4 linked regions of the Drosophila melanogaster genome follow. The protein of the gene in region 3 interacts with the protein of the main gene of each other region in a pairwise test. Each region holds a gene or a part of one and is shown on either strand. Other genes may lie near its edges. The genes, in order: ATbp, Kap-alpha1, Doc3 and Lim3.

Region 1 (4,837 bases), on a different chromosome or scaffold from region 3:
AGGTTGTTAACTTTGTGGGCAATGGATAAAATACAAGAAAAACAAGAGAGATACCCGTTGCTCAGCTAGTGTGAATGCGAACACGAAATTTTATCATTTTATTATGATATCGATAGATATTGGGGAATAAAATGAGAAAAAATTTAAGAATTGTTCAAAACTGTTTTTTGGCAAATCGATAGAAATTTACACAACTAATAAAATTATGAAAAAATATCAAACAATTTTTCAAAAATGTGGGCGTAGCAGTTATATACTTTATATGGTCGGATTCCTTTCTGCCTGTTACATACTTTCAACGATAATAAAAAGGCAGTTGTAGCTTCTCGAGCAACTAACAATGGAAAACTTTGGGCTGTAATTAAGAAGTCCTGGACCTAAATATCCCTTAAACAGTGCCAGGACCTGAATCAATCCATGCCAACACGTTGAACAGCTGTTTAAAATTGAATATTTAAGCATTTTTCATGACGTGGCTAATTAAGTTAAGAACTCATAGAACAATGTAATTATTTTTTATTTTCTAATAAGTGCATGATTTAACTTTTCTAAAAAGGTATTTTTGCTCTTTTTAAATCCTAAAATTGGGACTTATTCAAACCTTGATTGGGCAAGTGGTAATATTAAATTTTTCGCAGCTGTATATATGGCCATATATACATAAATATTGTGTATCTAGGTAAATAACTGTTCTAACCTTGTAAACTGTAACTGACACTATTTCAGCAACCACTAGATATGTCCCAGAAATCTCGCTGTCCTCAGAATCCATTTCAACTTAAAGTAAAAGACTTACTCAAAGGAGACTAATCGGTTTTAACACATTGTGAACCAATTTACTCTAAAACAAAACTCACAACGGTCTAGACACCAACATATTTTTTGGTTGGGCTTAATTCCGTCTTCTAAATTTTGGTCTCCTTTACACACATCATTGCATGTACACTTAGAGCGTAAAAGATAACGGGGGTTTTCATACCTCTGCCTAAACATTTACATTACATTTACATGACAACCTAAGCCTACATTAGATATTAGTTTATATTTGTATATTTTTATATACTAAATATGCATACATGTTATATATATTTATATTATATATTTATTTATATACAATATATATTCATTTGTAGAGCATATATATATACACATATGTGATATACATATATATGTCACTTGCCTGCCACAATGTTGACGCAGTGCTAAATTTTAATTTACAGTCGGAATTATCCAGAATTATTTAATTTATAAATATAAATATAAAGTCTATAACTTTATTGAGTCTTAGAAAAGGCAGAGAAATCATGGAAGAGACAAAATGTAGAACTCTTTTGTACACACCTTGCTAATTCAACAGATTTCTGTGGCTCCTAGCACAATGAACATTTTTTGTGGCAAACAAGCGATTTCCTTGAACTTAAGTCAACATTTTCAAACAGGGTTTTTCGAGATGCAATGTGGTTAATTGGGGAATCTTTGAGCTGTCTCTGTTTAATGTATAGCCTAAAAGCGCTGCGGCAATATCTCGCTTTTGATGCCTCTCAGTGCGTGCTTTTTCTTCCGGTGTGTTGATAGGTTGCACGACTGCTTGAAGGAGGCACTGCACAGTTCGCAATTGAACCGCCGCTCCTTGCTGTGAACTACCCGATGTAGCTCCATTCTCGACTTATACTTAAACTTCAAACCACAAGTCTCGTAATCGCAGACGTACCAGCGTTCTCCGTCATCTGAAGAGACAGCACTCCCGGCGCTGGCCGTCGTGCTGTTAGAGTCCTTGGGCAGCTGTTCCTGACTGGCGGCTAGCATAGCGGCGGCCATAGCCGTCGAAGGAACGACAGACATGTTTAGTTGCTGTTGCTGCTGTAGAACATTGGGTGGCGTGGTGCTGACCGTATTGGAGGTGCTGGTACTGGCGCTGACGCTTACAAATCCGGACCCTGGCGGTGGAGGCGGTACAGGTGGTGGAACTAGCTGTGGCAGATGGTAAATGGTCCCCCCAGCTGCTGCAGCAGCCTGCATTTCGGGTGTAAGTGTCAGACTGCTGGGCTCTATTTTAATGTCGATGGCGCTGTTACTTTGGGTAGTTCCTTCGCCTGTGGATACCACAGCTGCGGAGGCTGCAGCGGCAGCTACCGCATTGGCATGGAGTTCAGCCAGCTCCTTGGCAACATCCCGCTGCTGTTGGAGCTGCTGGTGGGTCTGCTGTTGTTGAACCTGGTGTTGCTGGTGCCCTTGCTGCTGAGACTGTTGGTGTTGTTGCTGCTGCGCTTGCTGCTGCTGCGCTTGCTGCTGTTGCACTTGGTGTTGCACCTGCTGTTCGTGCATTTCCACCTCCCGCTGCTCCTCCTCAGAATACTTGGTTGAGCAGGTGTAAAGTGCCAGAGGCACACTGATCGCTGTGGCGCCTTGCTGGGAGCTGCTTCCTGGCGTTGCTGCTGCCGCCGCAGCCTCCACATCCGTTAGGCAGTAGCTGGATGTACGACTGTGTTCCTGTGTAAAGAGACCAAGGGTTATAAACCCTCCGCCAAAAAAAAACCACATAAAGCATACCTTTGCCACCCCGTGCATGAAATTATGCTCATCCTGTATGTGCTTCCAGAACTGATCCTGTGTCTGCAACTCCTCTTGGCACGTGTGACAAACAATCCAGAAGCTATCCCCCGACAAACAGAACTCGCCCAGCTTGGTGTAGATCTTGTTGTTCTTGCTGAGGATGCGCGGAAAACCCATGGCGTTGTTTTGTTTGACTAGGTCCGGTCCTTGTGCTGTTGTTTGTTTATGTTTATTTTTTTTTTGTTTTTGTTTAGCTATCGGCCGAATGGGCACTGTCGATAGTATCGATTAATCATCGGCCTTATTTAGTGTCGAACTTGAACGCAGCTATCGCATTGATGGTAAAGAACTACATATCAGTGGTCCATAAAAAAAACTTTAATTAGGAATTATATTTACAAACGATAAAACGCATGTGAAGCTTTGGGAAAAAATCTTAAAAAACATTGGTTTCCTCAACAGGACACTCAAAAAAAGCGTTAGACATTGGAAGAACCAAAATACTTTTATAGCATTTTAAATATCTTCTATCGATATATCGATAAGGTAAAAACTTCTAAATAAAAGTCCAGAATCGCGAATTTTCTATCGATATTAAATAACTGTTGTATGGAATCTTTAAGCCTTTTACAATTTTAAAAATGTTGTGAAGTACCAAAAATGATTTTCATGCCCTCGTATGGTGGAGGCGTATATTAAATTCCTTGAAAAGTATTTAACAGGTAAAAGGAAGCGTTACCGACCCTTTAATGTATATACATATATTCTTGATCAGGAAAACTAGTAGAGTCGAACTGGACTTGTCCGTATCAATGTTTTGCTGTTTGAATAGCTCCATCTTTCTCGCATTTTCATTATCAGAATGAAGAGTTCTCCCTTACTCCTGAAAGGGTCAGTCGGTTATTTAGTTAGAACACAAGCATTATGTTAATAATTTTTTAAATAACGTACTACATAGTGTGTCCTGATTATTGTTAAGCATTGATTTAATGTGCTTTGATTACGAACTAATCGATGTTTTTTAATTTTCCGTTATGTGTATAAATGAATTTATGTATGAATATATAACAATACCGAAATATATTTGAATACAATCTTTTTTTTGGAAAAATCAATTATTATTCAATAATATTGAAGTCACTAGGAATCGTTCATTTCCTTCTGAAATTACCTTAATGCGTAGCTTAAAAGATAATATTATGGATTTTGTTATACAAATGTACAGTGGAGAAAATACAATCCAAAAGCAAAAGTATTGAGTACTTGTTATTGAAAAAATGTAAGTAACGCAAGACAGACACTTTTAAAATGATACCCTACCCGAAAACACATATGTATATTCATATGTGGCTATGTAAAATGTGAAATATATGTATATATGTATGTGTATTTACATAACTACATACTTAGGTATGTGCGATATATTTTCACATTTTGTTTTGTCTTTGCATTTCCCTACGTACAGACCGATAGACTGGCATGGATAGATCGACTCGGCTATTGATCCTGATCAAGAATATATATATATTATATGGTCGAAAACGCTTCCTTCCGCCGGTTCATACTTCTCAACGAATCTAGTATACCCTTTTACTCTGCGAGTAACGGGTAATATATGCCCCCAAACCTCACCTCCCTGAAACACCAATCTTTCTAAAATCGACACAACACACAATAAGTTCAACAAAAACAACACGACCCCAAAATTGATAAGGAAAATATTAAATAATAAGCAAACTAACGATCTTTCCTAGACCTACATTTACACAGATGGATCTCAAACAAACAAAATTACCAGCTTCGCTATTAACTACGAAATTTAACTTATCAAACGGCACATCATACTAGCCATTATTGAGGCCCTAAGAACTCATAAAAATAAAAGAGCAAAATTCTGCATTATTAAGAACACCAGGAAATGAACTCGCTGACAGCCAAGCAAGAACCGCAACAAGCCATCCACTTACAACTATTGAAAACTTTAACACACAGGACATACTTAAATATATAAATAAATGTATATAACCAACATCTCGAGGACATCAAATTGGCATCAAACATCAAGCCAAAATCATCTTAACAGCTACCATTCTTTTGCTTGGACTAGAAAAAGCATACGAAATTAGAGAAATACCTATACAAAATTAGTTAATTAAATATAAGAGGCGGTGCCACGGCCACAATTTTTGGTATCATAAAAGATAATGGCAAAAAAATTTAAATATCTTTATCCGTTCTAGAGTTACAAACTACAACAAATATAAGGGGCGGTTTCAGAACGGAT
Region 2 (5,387 bases), about 11 Mb from region 3:
GGACTCCTCGACCCCACTTGCGTCGAGTGGTAGCGCGATCTCGGGAATGTCCGGAATACGGGCTGAAGCTGCAGTGGAATCTCCGCCGCTGACCGCTTCCCCCACAAAGGCGGCAACATCGGCAGGAGAGGGTTTTGTTTCCAACTCATCCGACATGGATTGTTGGTCATCATGTTCCTCATGATGCTCCTGGTCCGTCTCCTCCTTTCTGTCGTTGGATTCGCCCTTGGAATTGTAGCAGCAGAATGCCTGTTTCTTGAGATACTGCAGGTGACACCGGTGACGCCTCAGGTTCGTTGTGGATTTGTGGGTGAAGGACATAATGCTCCTGCAGCCGATGCAGAACAGTACGTGCTCCAGAAAGCTACCATCGTCCTTCTTGATCTTGCGATACACCCGCCACACAGTGCTCCGTGTGCTTTTGTCATTAACAGCCAATTGGTAGACGCCGGTTTCAATTTTCTCGTGAATATCATCGAATTTTAGCGGCATCTTGAATTATTTTGCTATTTTGTTTTGTTTTGTTCAACTAGTCTTTATCATCCACATCGATTGTCCATAATCGTGCTAATCGATTGCACCGCCCAGGTGGCAACCCCGATTAGAGGCACATTGCGCCGGCAATTTTACATATATCATTTTGTTTTTATTATTTTTTAAAGTGTTTTCTTGTTTTCCTACCTGGTTTAAATGGCGGCATTGTGCTTAGACTTTCTCGGCTTCCAGGTGGGGGTTGGAATATTGTTGTTTGGGTTAGTAGCCGGCATACTAAATGGCTTTAAGTTTCCAAACAGGAGGCACTGAAGAAGATGCGAGATGTGGACGACAAGATTATATATGCACTAAATGCCCTGCCAACGGAGTCGTTTAAGGGTCAAGTGAACAGTGAAAGCACCTGTCGCGATCTGTACGCGAAGCTCCAGGAGTCACACTTGGCCAGGGTAAATCCTGATTAAGTACAACACACGGGGATCTTGACAGATAGCTTCTCCTTGCAGCAAGAAAGCATACGCAGTTGCATAACAATTTCGGCTAGTAATCTGAAGAAGCTAAGGGAAAAGCGGGAGACCCAGCCGGATGATGTGGATACGGATAACCAGTTTAGGGCGGAGCAGCGCAAGGTAACCGAAATACCTAAGTCTTACTCTTAACTGATGCCTATGATCCTTTCCAGCTGCGGGTTCTCCAGGCCGAGCTCAATGTCGAGGACATCATTAAAGATCGTTCCTACAAGACCTTCAATGAACGATGCCGGTCCTATTTTCATGCTGGCCAATAGGTGGAACAAATGCAATGACTAGTTTTAGGTGGATTTATTAGCAGAAGTCTCATGGAACTGCCAAGCCAGAAGGCATTTACATGCACTCCGTTGTATTACAAGTTGTTTACAACAAGTACATAAATATAACAGTCTAAAAAGCACAAACTTTATTCGTCGCGGGGCAGGTTGTATGTAGCGTAAACCGATCCGACGGGTACGCATTTTAGGTTGGCCAAGGCTTCCAGGACGCGCTGGGTGGCATCCTTTAGGTCGTTGTACTCGTGCAGCAGTTCAATGATCTTCTTTTTCTGACCCTCTGACGTTTCATTTGTCTTATTGGCCGTTTTGCGCGACTTTTTCTTATTTTCTTTCATGTTTAAATTAAATGCAATTGGATTGGAATTACTGCTATCGGTTGATATCGCTATCGATAGCGCGTCAGCTGTGTGCATTGCATTTTGACAGTCCGGCATCCCCGTTCCTCACAACGTGTAAAATCTCCCGTCCCCTTGCATGATTAAGACGAGAAAAGGATTCTCCGGAACAGGTAAATTGTGTTCTAATTACGTATCTGAAGGCGCCTCTTCTAACCAGGAGTTGTGGTGGCTCAAAGAAGGGCGTAACCGGAGACCAGCGAATGGCTCATGCTGGCTGACCTAAGCCCGCACCTATACGCACAAACGCAAAGCAGCCGTGTGTGCACATATGTACATACACGTACAATGAAATGTGAAAGTGTTGTGATTGTGCATTTTGCCAGGAAAACTGAATAGTTCATTAAATGTGAACCTATTATATGTAAATTATTCGCCTGACAACGTAATCTTTATGTTTCCGGAAATGTAAAATTAGCCTAGAGCAGGCGCTAAGCGAATGTTCAGTGGTTACAGGGCGTAATAATCCTGGTGGGAGTGGATGAGAACATTGGGGAACACCTAGTGATGATTATAAACGTTCAATTCAACTAGTTCGCATTCCACGACGACCTCTACCTATATTTTCTAGATTATTTGCACTTTCGTTTAGCATTTGATCACAGTAGCGGCGAAAATCAAGTCGCACTCACTTTTTATCTGAAACCTGTCTTTACGACTTAAATTATTCTGTTCTCAAAGAAATATTTTTTTTAACTATTTCAAGCTTTTGAATTGCCAAGACGACGAAATGTCTGCCAGCCACAAACAGCGTTATAAAAATGCCGCCTTGGACTCCACAGAGATGCGTCGTCGTCGCGAGGAGGTGGGCATCCAGTTGCGAAAAAACAAACGCGAACAGCAGCTCTTTAAGCGACGCAATGTGGTTCTTGAGCCGGCTACATCCTCAACATCAGCCGGAGTGGAGAGCAACACCGATAACGAACAGCAGGTATATTTTGATCAAGTTTGGCCTGATAGCATAGTCTTAACTATCTCTCCATTCCAATGCAGGCTGCCGACATGCACATGGCTGACAGCAGCACTGGCGGTCAAAACGAGGAAGCTGCTGGAAGCGGGGCACAGCCATCCGTAATCAACGAGGAAATGATTCAAATGCTCTTCAGTGGACGTGAAAACGAACAGCTTGAGGCGACTCAAAAGTTCCGCAAACTGCTGTCCCGCGATCCCAATCCTCCCATTGAGGAAGTCATCCAGAAGGGGATAGTGCCACAGTTTGTCACCTTTTTGCGAAATAGCGCAAATGCCACGCTGCAGTTCGAGGCCGCCTGGACGCTAACGAACATCGCATCGGGCACCTCGCAACAGACCAAGGTGGTTATCGAGGCCGGGGCAGTGCCTATCTTCATTGATTTGCTCTCCAGTCCCCATGATGATGTTCAGGAACAGGCCGTGTGGGCCCTAGGCAACATAGCCGGTGACTCACCCATGTGTCGAGACCATTTGCTCGGCTCCGGCATTCTAGAGCCTCTCCTGCAGTAAGTTATAAATAATTATATTGATAAGATTGCGCCAAAGTAGGTGTGACTTCTTGCAGTGTATTGAGCAACTCGGATCGCATTACCATGATACGGAATGCGGTGTGGACACTTTCAAACTTGTGCCGCGGCAAAAGCCCTCCCGCAGACTTTGCCAAAATTAGCCATGGTCTACCAATACTGGCACGGTTGCTGAAGTACACTGATGCGGATGTACTAAGCGATACTTGCTGGGCCATAGGCTACCTGTCAGATGGTCCCAATGATAAAATCCAGGCTGTAATTGATGCGGGTGTTTGCCGTCGCCTGGTTGAGCTGCTATTGTAAGTAGTCCTGCTGCGCCATTACAAATTAAAATTACACTTATGATTTGTTGACCTATCCTGGCAGACATCCTCAGCAGAACGTGAGCACAGCTGCTCTGAGGGCCGTGGGCAATATTGTGACAGGCGACGATCAGCAGACCCAGGTGATATTGGGGTACAACGCTTTGACCTGCATTAGCCACCTGCTGCATTCGACGGCGGAAACAATCAAGAAGGAGTCGTGCTGGACAATCTCAAATATTGCAGCCGGCAATCGTGAGCAGATCCAGGCCTTAATCAATGCCAACATATTCCCGCAGCTGATGGTTATCATGCAGACGGCCGAATTTAAGACTCGCAAGGAGGCCGCATGGGCCATTACCAACGCAACCAGCAGCGGTACGCACGAACAGATCCACTACCTGGTGCAGGTTGGCTGTGTGCCGCCCATGTGCGATTTTCTCACCGTCGTCGACTCGGACATCGTCCAAGTGGCGCTAAATGCACTTGAAAACATTTTGAAGGCAGGTGAAAAGTTCCAGACGCGACCAAATCCCTATGCTATTACCATCGAGGAATGCGGAGGTAACGCTATTTATTTTTACTTTCAAATTTCCATTTAAATATCGATTCTGTTAATATTATATAGGTTTGGACAAAATAGAGTATCTGCAGGCGCATGAAAACCGCGACATCTACCACAAATCATTTTACATTATCGAACAGTACTTCGGCAACGAAGAGGAGGATAGCCGGGTGGCTCCCGTGGCAGGCACGCAACAGTTTGAGTTCGATCCGGACAACATGCCCAGCACCGGATTTAACTTTTAGCACCCTACCGCGCAGGACATCGTTTAACTATTCAAATACGAATCCCTCAAGTCCTAAACACACAGAAGCATATGCAACAGGAAGCGAAGCCTTGCCGCCGGGATTTAAATGAAGGCGGCCAGAGCACGGACATGAAAAATAGACCGCATGAGAAGGCGTCTGCCTTGCCCAAGTGCAGTCACTACTAGCATTTAAGGAAAGATGGTCGTTCGGTCGGCTCGTTTCTTTGTTACAATCACTCACCTGCTTATTGTATCAGCGTTTAGTTCTATAATTTTCGAAGTGGTCCAGGACCAGGCATGACGAGATTGCTTTCATTTAGTTCGATTGTACTAATTTAATATGTTATACAGAACCCATTGTATATGTTTTTGCTTTCCTCAAATTGAGTCTGTAAATATTTTCCATTTTATATATATATTTTCCAGCCCAAGTACGATGAGATCCTCACATGGTGTTGTTATACATTCTGATTCATTTGATCATTTTGTTATGCGAATCGCCGAATGTAAATTTGTTTAAATTATAAAGCATTGTAATTTAATTTAGAGGACATCAATAAACAACATCTAGACCACAGCTATGCAGATTGGCATAAGTTTTTATTGAATCTTTAAGCTTATAATATCCTCATGTGTAAATAATTTTCGGAATCCTTGGAAATATCCTAGTGGATTCAGCACCATATCTCTTGACCTATAATACCGACACCATCGACTCCAGTCACGAACTTAGGTGCGCTTGACGAACTGCACCTTGTATGGTTTTGGAGTAAGCGTAATCCCAGGCAGAAGCACCATTGATGGAGACTCTCCCGCCGGCAGGACAACGCTAAAATGCTGCACGATCCGCACTAGAAACGAGAAGATGCAGGCACGGGCGAGGGCATCGCCCAGACAACGGCGTCTGCCCATGCCGAAGGGCATGAAGTACTCGTCCTTGAAGCACTTGCCAGCCGAATCGATGAACCTCTCTGGGCGGAACTCCAGCGGATCCTTCCAGTGCTCCTTATCGAGATGCACTGAACGTAGGCTAATCAGAATTGTGGCATTTTTCGGAATGTCGTAGCCACCCAGCT
Region 3 (4,467 bases):
TCCGTTCCGGTTCCCATTTTAATACCCCCAAGCGATGTCCTTTTGCGGTTTTGTCGGCCCGCTTTTGTCTCCAACATCCAGCAGACCAGACAATAGCAAACAAATTGTAGAGCAGACCCACAAACAGGCAATAATCATAACAATAATTTTGGAAACTGCAGAGAGACACACAAACAGTCGGCGGTCGTCGCACAGCCAGGCCATAAAACTGAAACTGGCATCCTCGCATCATCGAGGCTCTCGCTTTTGTTCCACGGTTGTTCCCGTCGTTGAGGAGGCATCAGCTCGGGGACAAAGTGTGATGATTTTTATGACTCGCCTGTGAGTTTGTGCCGCCAGTGTCGCCCTGCCAACGGCACCGGCACCCGAAATGCAGGACAAGTGGCAACAAGTGGCTGATCCGTTAGACGTATCCCTTTTCCATCCCGTCCTACTACGATGCTCAAGTGGCTCGAAGGCGACAGTGTCTTGGCGCCAGTTTGATTTGATGGCCGCTCCCGGCTGCCGCAATTTGTTGTGGCCCAGCATCGAGTACAAAGTACCATTTAAAGGTCTGATTAGCCGGACTTATCACGGGGCGGATCTCTTTCGAGATTCTCCTTCGCAACGGTAGCGGCGATATTTCGCTGCATCTACAAGATGCACGGCAGATTGCAGATAAGTTAAATGCAACCGAACATATGGGTTCCGATCATGACGGTGGAATAGATAGATCTATGAACTGGTTATCAAAGGTTTGACACTCAAGTGCTGTCTCAAGATGATATGCCGATGATCAAAATGTTAAATAACCTAGAAGATACTTTAGAAGTCATTCGATTTGAAGGATAAGCTGTGGGAAAATAATAATAATAATAATAATAATAGTGCAGTACTAAAATTCTTAACCTAAATTTTAAATCTTTTTGTATAGTATCTCTTTAAATATTCTTGTCTAATAAATACCACTTTTAACAAAGAGTAAATATAAATTACTTGATTTTCACACCTTTATTTTATTTGCCTAGATTTGGCTTCATTATCACATTGATGAATAGTAAAATGCCGACATAAAACAAAATGCTCGTATATTTTTTTTTATATTTTTGTTATAATGATAATGCAATGTTATAAAAGTACTTTGTTTGATAATATTTTTGTTTTTTATCTATTGAATTGTGGCAATTCAACTCAGACTGTAAACACTGATAGTTAACAGAGAGTTAACGAAGATTTTCCAATCTGTTTATTGTTTTTAACATTAACAAAATTGAAAAGAACGATGAATAAATTTATTTCTACAAAGTATTTTGGAAATTCCTCCTCTAATTCTATACGCCTAATGTTTTTCTCGTGCCTCCGAAATTACAGCTTCCCATTTCTGGGACAATGTAATCTCGCCGAACATTATTGGTTGGCCCATATCCAAAACGTTTTCCAGTTCCATAAATATTACAAACGATTAGGCGACTTCAAAGAGCGCTCCCCCGATTCCACGAAGAAAAGCCCCATTCCCCATTGCCGTTCCCTTTCCACGTAACGCTATCAGCAGCAAGATGGGTGCCGTGCCCCCCAGTTCCGTGAGAGGAGGTCACCAGAACCGCTCCACGCGGCGTTACGAAAATGGCGTTCCATCTGGCGCAGCGAGTGCAAGCGGGACGGCGTAACGCTCGCTGATAAGCGACCAATGGCAAAGAGATAAACATACACACATGGCCTGACGCACTGGAAGTGGAAGCGAGAGAGCGGGTGAGTGGCAAGCCACTTGAGCATGAGAACAGGTTAGGCAACTACCTGAGGATAGGGATCGGATCGGATCGGATCGGCAGAGTGAAGAGCGAAGTGAGCGGGAGGAACCCAACCGACCGGATTCTGGCAGAACTGAAGTAGTGCCCGCTCTGAGATTCCGAGAGACAGTCTCAATCTGGACAGCAAAGCGATCAGTTCGTGTTCCAGACGTCGATTGCCCACGGAATAATATCAACGTATCACAAAAATAATAGATTACGCACATAGCTCCACGAAGACCCCAAATATGTTGACCTTGCCCAACATCGCCGATCTGCGATTGCAGCAGCAGATCGCCCAGGAGATATACCGCCAGCAGATTATGCAACGTTTACCCGGTAAGTGGAGCACTCCCTGCGCTTGTGATTTGCCGTCGGCTAACCCAAAGTGTCTACCACAGATCCCCTATGCGGCCTGCTACCCAACTTTGCCGGACACTTTATGCCACCGCCGCCACCGCCGCAACCCACTTTGCCCGGCGATGTGGAGGCCAAGCTGGAGAATAACGAACTCTGGCAGCAGTTCCACAGCATCGGCACCGAGATGATCATCACCAAGTGCGGCAGGTTGGTACCATTTTAAAGTCAACTATTTGCTCGCCCCCATCAGCTTATCTCCCATTGATAAGCCTTCTGCTTACTCTTAAATCTTACGGCGCAAACGTGTCACTAACATCCATTAACCAACGCCTCCATCCCTTTCAGACGCATGTTCCCTTCGATGCGGGTTTCCCTCAGTGGACTGGAGGAGGAGGCCAGCTATTGCGTGCTCCTCGAGATGGTGCCCATTGGCGATTGTCGCTATAAGTTCTCTGGATCCCAGTGGGTGCCGGCCGGAGGAGCCGAGCCCCAGAGCCCGCAGCGCATGTATCTGCATCCGGAGAGTCCAGCCACGGGAAAACACTGGCAATCCCAGGCTCTGCTCTTCAGCAAAGTGAAATTGACGAATAATACGCTGGATAACAATGGTCATGTAAGTAAACTTTGTCAAGAATATTACATAAACAAATTTGATCTTTTGTTCTTGAGTAGAAATATATGTATCTTTGTATATCCTCAAACTAACCGTGTATTTTTCTGTCTCTCCAGATCGTCTTGGCCAGCATGCACAAGTATCAGCCGCGTCTGCACGTCATACGAACCTCTGATCTCGGCCAGATTCCCTGGGCCCCCCAACAGGCCTTTATCTTTCCGGAGACGGAGTTTATAGCCGTAACAGCTTATCAGGTGCGTGGTGCTATATCGCAGTCTAAATATGGCACGTGATAGCTAATCCTCTTGTTTGCATTTGCAGAATGACCGCATAACCAAGCTGAAGATCGACAACAATCCCTTTGCCAAGGGATTCCGTGAGTCGGGTCAGTCGAGATGCAAACGGAAGATCAATGACTCGCCACCGCCAACGCAGCCCGAGGCAAACCAGGTGGATCGAAGCCCGGTGACATCGCCGTTAGCCAAACGGTTGCGACTCGTGGAGGAATTTCCCCAGCACCATCATCACCAGAGTCATCACAGTGTTCCTATGCAGCGTCACTATCTGCTGGATGCTCTGGAGGCCAATTTCTATGTGCCAGCGCCACCGCCGCCGGCCATCGAGTATGCCAGGCACATCGGTGGTGCTTATCCAAGTTGGGCTTACACACCGCCATCGCCGGCCTCCTCTGTCTCGTCCTCCTCGGCGGGCTCGACGAGCGGCGAATCTGCTGCCGACCGAGAGGCAGATGCCGATGCCGACACCTTTGTAGATGTGGTTGGAACCGCACCGGCTGCTCCTCCGCCTCCATCTCCGCCTGTGCCAGCCACTGCTACTGCCCCTGCTTCGTCATCCAGCGATCCGACGATGGCCAAGCCGAAGCGCAGCAGCTTCAGCATCTCGGACATATTAGGAACCAGCTCGTCCATTTAAAACTATCAAGTGCAGACGGGTGCATGTGCTCCCGTTTGGCTTGGAATCGGTGCCTTGTACATTTAATTAGCGTTTAGTTGCCATCGTCTGCGTAGTGTCTAAGCTGAATTGTGATATTTTGCAGTTAATTAGGATTTCCAGGTATTTGCCATCAGTATTTATCGTATTTATTATGCAATTTTAATTGTTCACATGATTTCGTAATGGATTTATTGTCTTTGGCATTTTAATGCGGCATAAATAAAATTGTACGTACATATGTACGTATCCAATGAATTCGATGGAGCTATTTCTGGGATGAAACAATGCGGGGAATGTGAAGCAATTAGATGGGACAGATGCGAAGAGCTTCCAGCTCGAAGATCTGAATAAATTCCCCAATAACTTCCCATGACTGCGCTTCGAATCCTGTTCCTCGAGCAATTTGTGCATGCTGTATGCCTTCCATTTGCCTGTCCTCGCCGAATACATAATTCGGCGTGGTTTTGCCTTTGGTTTCGGTTTCATACATATCTCCCGCATGCGAGGCATAAAAACCAGTTCCTCCAGGCCCCGCACCCGCCCTCCCTCTCCTGCTCCAACTTCTTGTGAAAGAAAGAAGGTTTCTAAGAGCAGAACAACCCACCGGCAAGCAGCAACATCGGCAGCAACAACATGGTCATGGGCTTATCAGCAGATCAGAGCGAGCCGCATCTTAAACGCTGGCGCCGGCGCCAAGTTAAATGCGCTGATTGAGCGCCACGATCACCGGCAAACCTGGCGAGCAGTCCAATTCAAATACCCAATCCACAATCT
Region 4 (5,002 bases), on a different chromosome or scaffold from region 3:
CCTGTTGGAAGAAACACAGAATTTAGAGGCATCGCTCCAAGGATAAAAGTCCAGACACACACCTCTCACGTATGCCGCTCAGATAGTTGATAAGGAACTCGATGGAGGCATGGCCAAATTCACGGAACTCATCAAAGTCCATGATCCTGGTTAATCCAAAAAAAAAGGCGCGATTTACTTTGGGGGGGAATTTGGGTATTTAGCCGCTCCGCTGGTTCCGCACTTGTTCACCGCTGACATTCGAATCTACAAATGAGCTGGCTGCGCTTTAACCAAGTCTCAATGAGCTCCGAATCTCGAGACCCTCCAATAAAAAGTTTGGGGGGGAACTCCAACAACGTTAACAAAAATCCGGCTATGTGTGAAAATGTGCAGTGGCAGCAAGTTTTTTGTCTTTCTGACTGGCCCATTGCCGAGATTTATGTTTATGTAACTACCAAAAGACACAATAGCGAAAACAAGATCGCCGGACAAAAGTTAAAAATGTCGGTGAAGAAAATTTAAACAAACTGCTTGTTAATTGTCTATTAAAATGTGTTATCCAAACACTAGCACTGCTGCTTACTAAATCTCCGCCATCCCCCCCAAAACCCACTGCCGATCCGGTTCCATATCATCACATCATCAGCAATTAACCGTCCCAAGTCGAGCCCATTTGGCAAAATACTTCATGTGTCTAACCATTAACGGCTCCATTAGACAGACGTCTGCGACAAAAGCGTTGGAAAATTTGAAAGTCAAAGTCGATTTGGTAACCGCGGAAGTGAAGCTCCGCCTGGGATGCCATAGATTGGGATCGCGTTGGATTGAGTGCATCGGTTTCATCAGCCATTTCCATTTCCATTTCCATTCACGATCAGTTTCAGTTTCAGGGTCACGCTGCATTTTTATGCTCTTACCCTATATTTTTTTATAATCGGTACTAGTTGGGTTCAAGGGTATGCCGTGTTTTCGTGTTGTTCCGCACGCGTAACGAAAGCCCAATAAGAAAATGCTGAATGTTTAATAAAGGAAATATGTAATATAGTTTATACAGTTTATAGTTTAGCTTCTGTGTAATAGTATCCAATATATATTACAGGCAAGCTGTAAATGATGATGATACAAAAGTCTTAGTATAAGTATGAAGTAATACATTTTACAGCATAAGATGGAATCATGTTTTTTTCTAATATTTATACGTACTTTGTATCTGGCATTTTATGCAGACTTTCTCAGACCGGGCATACTTTTCGAGCGACCCACGCACTCCAGCTGTTCGCGTTCCTTGCTCCGCCGCAGCGCGGAACCCAACCCACAAACGACCTTCCCTGCTAGTGTCCACTTCGGTGGGTGGGCGGAGGTCATCCGTTGGGAGCGGGGGCGTGGGGTTCTCGAGCATGGCGTTGGGGTTCAAAGTGTTTGGCAAAGTATTTGGCGCGCTCTAAGCGGCTCATAAATAAATGCGAAAACAAAATCGTTTTTGCAGACGCAACGCATTTAAGGGGTTTTCGGGACGGGTGGCAAGTATCCACTATAGATATAGGGGTTCCGAAACTACACAGACAGCGAGAATCCTATGCAGATACAGCGAACTCATGGGCAACGGGTGACTCGGGCATGGAGTAGCAACTTCCCCCCTCTCCCATCACCCTGCCAGCTTTGGGTTTTCGAGTGCGCCGGCGCTGGAACGACATCGAACTCTAGGAATAGAAGCGTATGGCCACCCCAGCCCCATTTTAATGGCGACGCTGGGGCGATAAGATAATGGCCACTGCCTGCGCATGCCTGGAAGTTCTTGTTGCTTTTGGACTCTATCGTCGGCCGATTTCCAGCGATTTTCAATATAAAGGGGCGGTGCCTGTTTTCCAGTGGAGACCCCGCATTTTTGGTGACCGCGCGCCGCGTATTGACTTGGACCTTTGAGTTAAGTTTCTCATATTTGTTTCGCCTCAGTCGACGTCGCTGCTGACTTTTAAGTGCTGTTTACTGTTGTTTTGGGGCCAACGAAGGTGTCGCGCTCGACGTTGGTTGGCTTTTTGTTCTACCCACTGTGCTGTTTTCCTTTTTTCATTTTTTTTTTGCCCCTGCACTTTTGCAGCTCAAGCTTCTTGAGGCAGAGGGAAACAAAAAAAAGTTTCCACACCTTCTTTTTTCGACGAGGCTAAAGTTTTTGCGTTTTACAAATATTGTAATGCTCTTGGAATTTGGACTTTTCGGGCAAATGGGCATCGCCAGAGAGCGACACACACATGCGCACGGCCTCCAAAAAGAAGCACAAAAATGTTGTCGCTGCTGGCGTTGTCGCCTCGCCGCCTTGTTGCCATTGTTGTCCTGCCATTCAGGGCTGGCTGTATGCATTTTACCATATCATTTGTGTCACATTAGGATCAATTGGTAAACACACGCCCGCACACCCGCACACACCCACAGATAGTACGTATACGCACGGCGTACCCATGTGGGCGGCCAAAAGGCAAACGGCAAACGGCACACGAATACAAGACGAAAGGCAAAAAACAAAAAAAAAAAAAAAAAAAAACAACAGCGTTAAAAGCTCGCACAGTCGAGAAAAAGCGTGAAAAAGTGCGCAAAGTAAAAAGGAGAGACGACAGTTTGGACGGCCAAGAAAATAAATAAAGATGCAGCGCGGCAAATAGAGGGGATTCCCACCAGCAACAATACCAGCCGCCTGCCAGTGTTGCCGCGTCCAGGGTTGCCGCCGTACCGTTACCGACACCGTTACCGTTTCCAGACCGTTACCTTACCGTTGGGCAAACACCGTTAGCCATGCCGCCGCCATTTTGTCGCACTGGCTTCGCATTTGCCGTCGTCGTTTTCGCTGCCGAATCCGTTACCGTTACCGTTAAAGTTGCCGATGCCGTCGCCAAAATGGCGTTCGCATAAAATCGCGTTCAAGTGCCGCAGAAAATTCAAACGAAATAATACGAAATGTTGAAATAAGAAAATTAAAAACCAGCCAATAATTAACAAAGTTAACAAATACTAGAGTTGAGTGTTAAAGTGACGCAAAAAATTTTAATAGGGTAAATGCAAATCATTTCCACTGGTTTTACGATTCCGTCGCATAACGAAAGGCTCAATAAAAAGGCTAAAATTCTGAGGAACTATTGAAAAGAAAGCCAGCTTGATTAAAAAATGGAATGTTACATTTTAACAGTAGATCCTTAAAACAAAAAAGTCTATTGAGCAAATTGTGTTGAGAAGAGTTACAAAACCAAGATACGTTTAGGATTTTAAAATGTTTAGTATATGAATTTTAATACTAACACGATTGGATTTTGTTTGTTTTAAGATTTAAGGCAATCAAAATAAGATTAATGTGCGATTTCCAACTCCCGATGTTAGCCATTTTAATTTCAATTTAATCTTAGGAGCTTTGCTCCTAAAATTAAATTTCTATAAAATAAATTTCATAGTATTTTGTTTCATTTATATATGATCTTCAATCTTAACTAGTTTCCAAATACTGAAGAACTATTAAATGGAAATTTCCGATTAATTATTCTACGTTTTAATATTTCACAAAAAATAAATTGTTTACCTATTTTGTTTGTTTGAATTTCTATAAAATAAATTATCTTCAATCTTAACTAGTTTTCAAATACTGATAAACTATTAAATGGATATTTGCTATCAAATATTCTACGTTATAATATTTCACAAAAATTTTTTTTAACTATTTTGTTTGATTTGGGAACCATTAGCAGTTCGTTTTTGATAAAAAAACCTTGGACATTGACCGTTTTTTGATAGATAGTATAGTGCACATCCGATTTGTTGTCTTCGCACGAGAATTCTCCTCGTGATAGACGATGAATAGATATGCGCCAAACGGTCTTTTGAATATCTACCGATCAGTTTGGCCCTATCCTCGGCTTACATAAAGTTTACCCGCCTTGCACTTGGTCGAAAGCACCCGAACAATAGATGGTCTAGTGTGCCCCGGTATCGCAAACAAATTCAAATTGTTCAAGTCCCTGGCTACTTCAACTGATAGAGCAGCCGAGCACTGAGCACGAGCCCAACCGAGTGGCAAGACTGGAATCTAGATTCTACCGTAGAAACCGAAACCCAAAGAGACCGCCGCGATAAGGGAAAAACAGTCAACCGGGCCACTGTTGGGCACAAACCAATGCCAGTTATCGAGCAGACAGCGATCCCGCCTAGCGGAGTCTCGTTTAGACGCTAAACGGGAAACGAGTGCGGTAAACTAACACAAAGATTGCTTTTTAAACACCAAACAGGGCTAAAGATACAAACGTGTGCCAATTGGAATAAGCTAACTGAAATATACATATAACTCATACGACGCGTGTTCAAATCGCCGGCCCCTCAGCAATGATGCAAACCCTGAAACCACCGCCACCGCTACATCATCACCACCAGCATCAGCACCAGCTCCAGCATCCGCCTCAGCAGCAGCCACATCCGCATCAGCAGCTGCAACATCCGTTGCAGCAGCAACAGCACCTGTCAGCCATGGATAATCACCAGCAACATCAGCCGCATATCCATCAGCAGCAGCAGCAGCAGCAACAATTGCCACCCACGCCGCAGGCATCTCACCTGGTCGGTGGGCAGCAACAGCAGCAGCAACATCCGCACCACAATCACCTGGCTGTCGACCAGGATGACCCAAATCCCGAACTGGTGCTCGCCTTAATTTCCAGGAACCGGGCGCTCGAGGGTAAGTGGCCAAGTCATGCCATCTTTGATTCAGTCCTGTCCATCTGAAGGCTGCCTAGGAGATTTTCCTGCACAGTGAACAAAAATGTTTGCCAAGAATAGTATATTATTAAAATGTTTGGTTTTCAAACTTAGATTACATTTTTGAATTTTATTTATCAATTTATCAATTTTTGAAATGAAAGAGAGAATAGTCGTATTTACATTAAAAAATATCGTGGTTTCTTAATTTTGCTTTAGTAAATATTGAGAATACAGTTTTCATGTTAAAACCGTATATTTCACTTCTGCTGTAAGTTAACCCTTTGAATAC

The links.
Region 1: the proteins of Doc3 (region 3) and ATbp interact in a two-hybrid assay, tested with the Drosophila melanogaster proteins (one large-scale study listed by BioGRID).
Region 2: the proteins of Doc3 (region 3) and Kap-alpha1 interact in a two-hybrid assay, tested with the Drosophila melanogaster proteins (one large-scale study listed by BioGRID).
Region 4: the proteins of Doc3 (region 3) and Lim3 interact in a two-hybrid assay, tested with the Drosophila melanogaster proteins (one large-scale study listed by BioGRID).

What each region holds. Positions count from the first base shown.
Region 1 is NC_004354.4:23,103,997-23,108,833, reverse strand, and holds ATbp ((A+T)-stretch binding protein), read right to left. Parts: upstream 2,832-4,837; 5' UTR 2,731-2,831; coding exon 2,551-2,730; intron 2,491-2,550; coding exon 1,504-2,490; 3' UTR 503-1,503; downstream 1-502. UniProt on the Drosophila melanogaster protein: May be a transcription factor for genes having (A+T) stretches in their promoter and/or enhancer regions. Binds to AT rich DNA.
Region 2 is NT_037436.4:19,805,512-19,810,898, forward strand, and holds Kap-alpha1 (karyopherin alpha1), read left to right. Parts: upstream 1-1,720; 5' UTR 1,721-1,808; intron 1,809-2,401; 5' UTR 2,402-2,425; coding exon 2,426-2,626; intron 2,627-2,688; coding exon 2,689-3,173; intron 3,174-3,232; coding exon 3,233-3,496; intron 3,497-3,563; coding exon 3,564-4,063; intron 4,064-4,127; coding exon 4,128-4,309; 3' UTR 4,310-4,887; downstream 4,888-5,387. Other genes in the region: CG34116 (uncharacterized protein), read right to left, coding at 1-492; Ccdc58 (Coiled-coil domain-containing 58), read left to right, coding at 691-726, 795-941, 999-1,121, 1,175-1,279; CG14104 (uncharacterized protein), read right to left, coding at 1,429-1,635; Cyp305a1 (cytochrome P450 305a1), read right to left, coding at 5,041-5,387.
Region 3 is NT_037436.4:9,003,304-9,007,770, forward strand, and holds Doc3 (Dorsocross3), read left to right. Parts: upstream 1-1,892; 5' UTR 1,893-2,014; coding exon 2,015-2,105; intron 2,106-2,167; coding exon 2,168-2,333; intron 2,334-2,471; coding exon 2,472-2,739; intron 2,740-2,855; coding exon 2,856-2,993; intron 2,994-3,060; coding exon 3,061-3,672; 3' UTR 3,673-3,946; downstream 3,947-4,467.
Region 4 is NT_033779.5:19,105,411-19,110,412, reverse strand, and holds the start of Lim3 (Lim3), read left to right. Parts: upstream 1-1,985; 5' UTR 1,986-3,026; intron 3,027-4,137; exon of another isoform or gene 4,138-4,247; 5' UTR 4,248-4,341; coding exon 4,342-4,690; intron 4,691-5,002.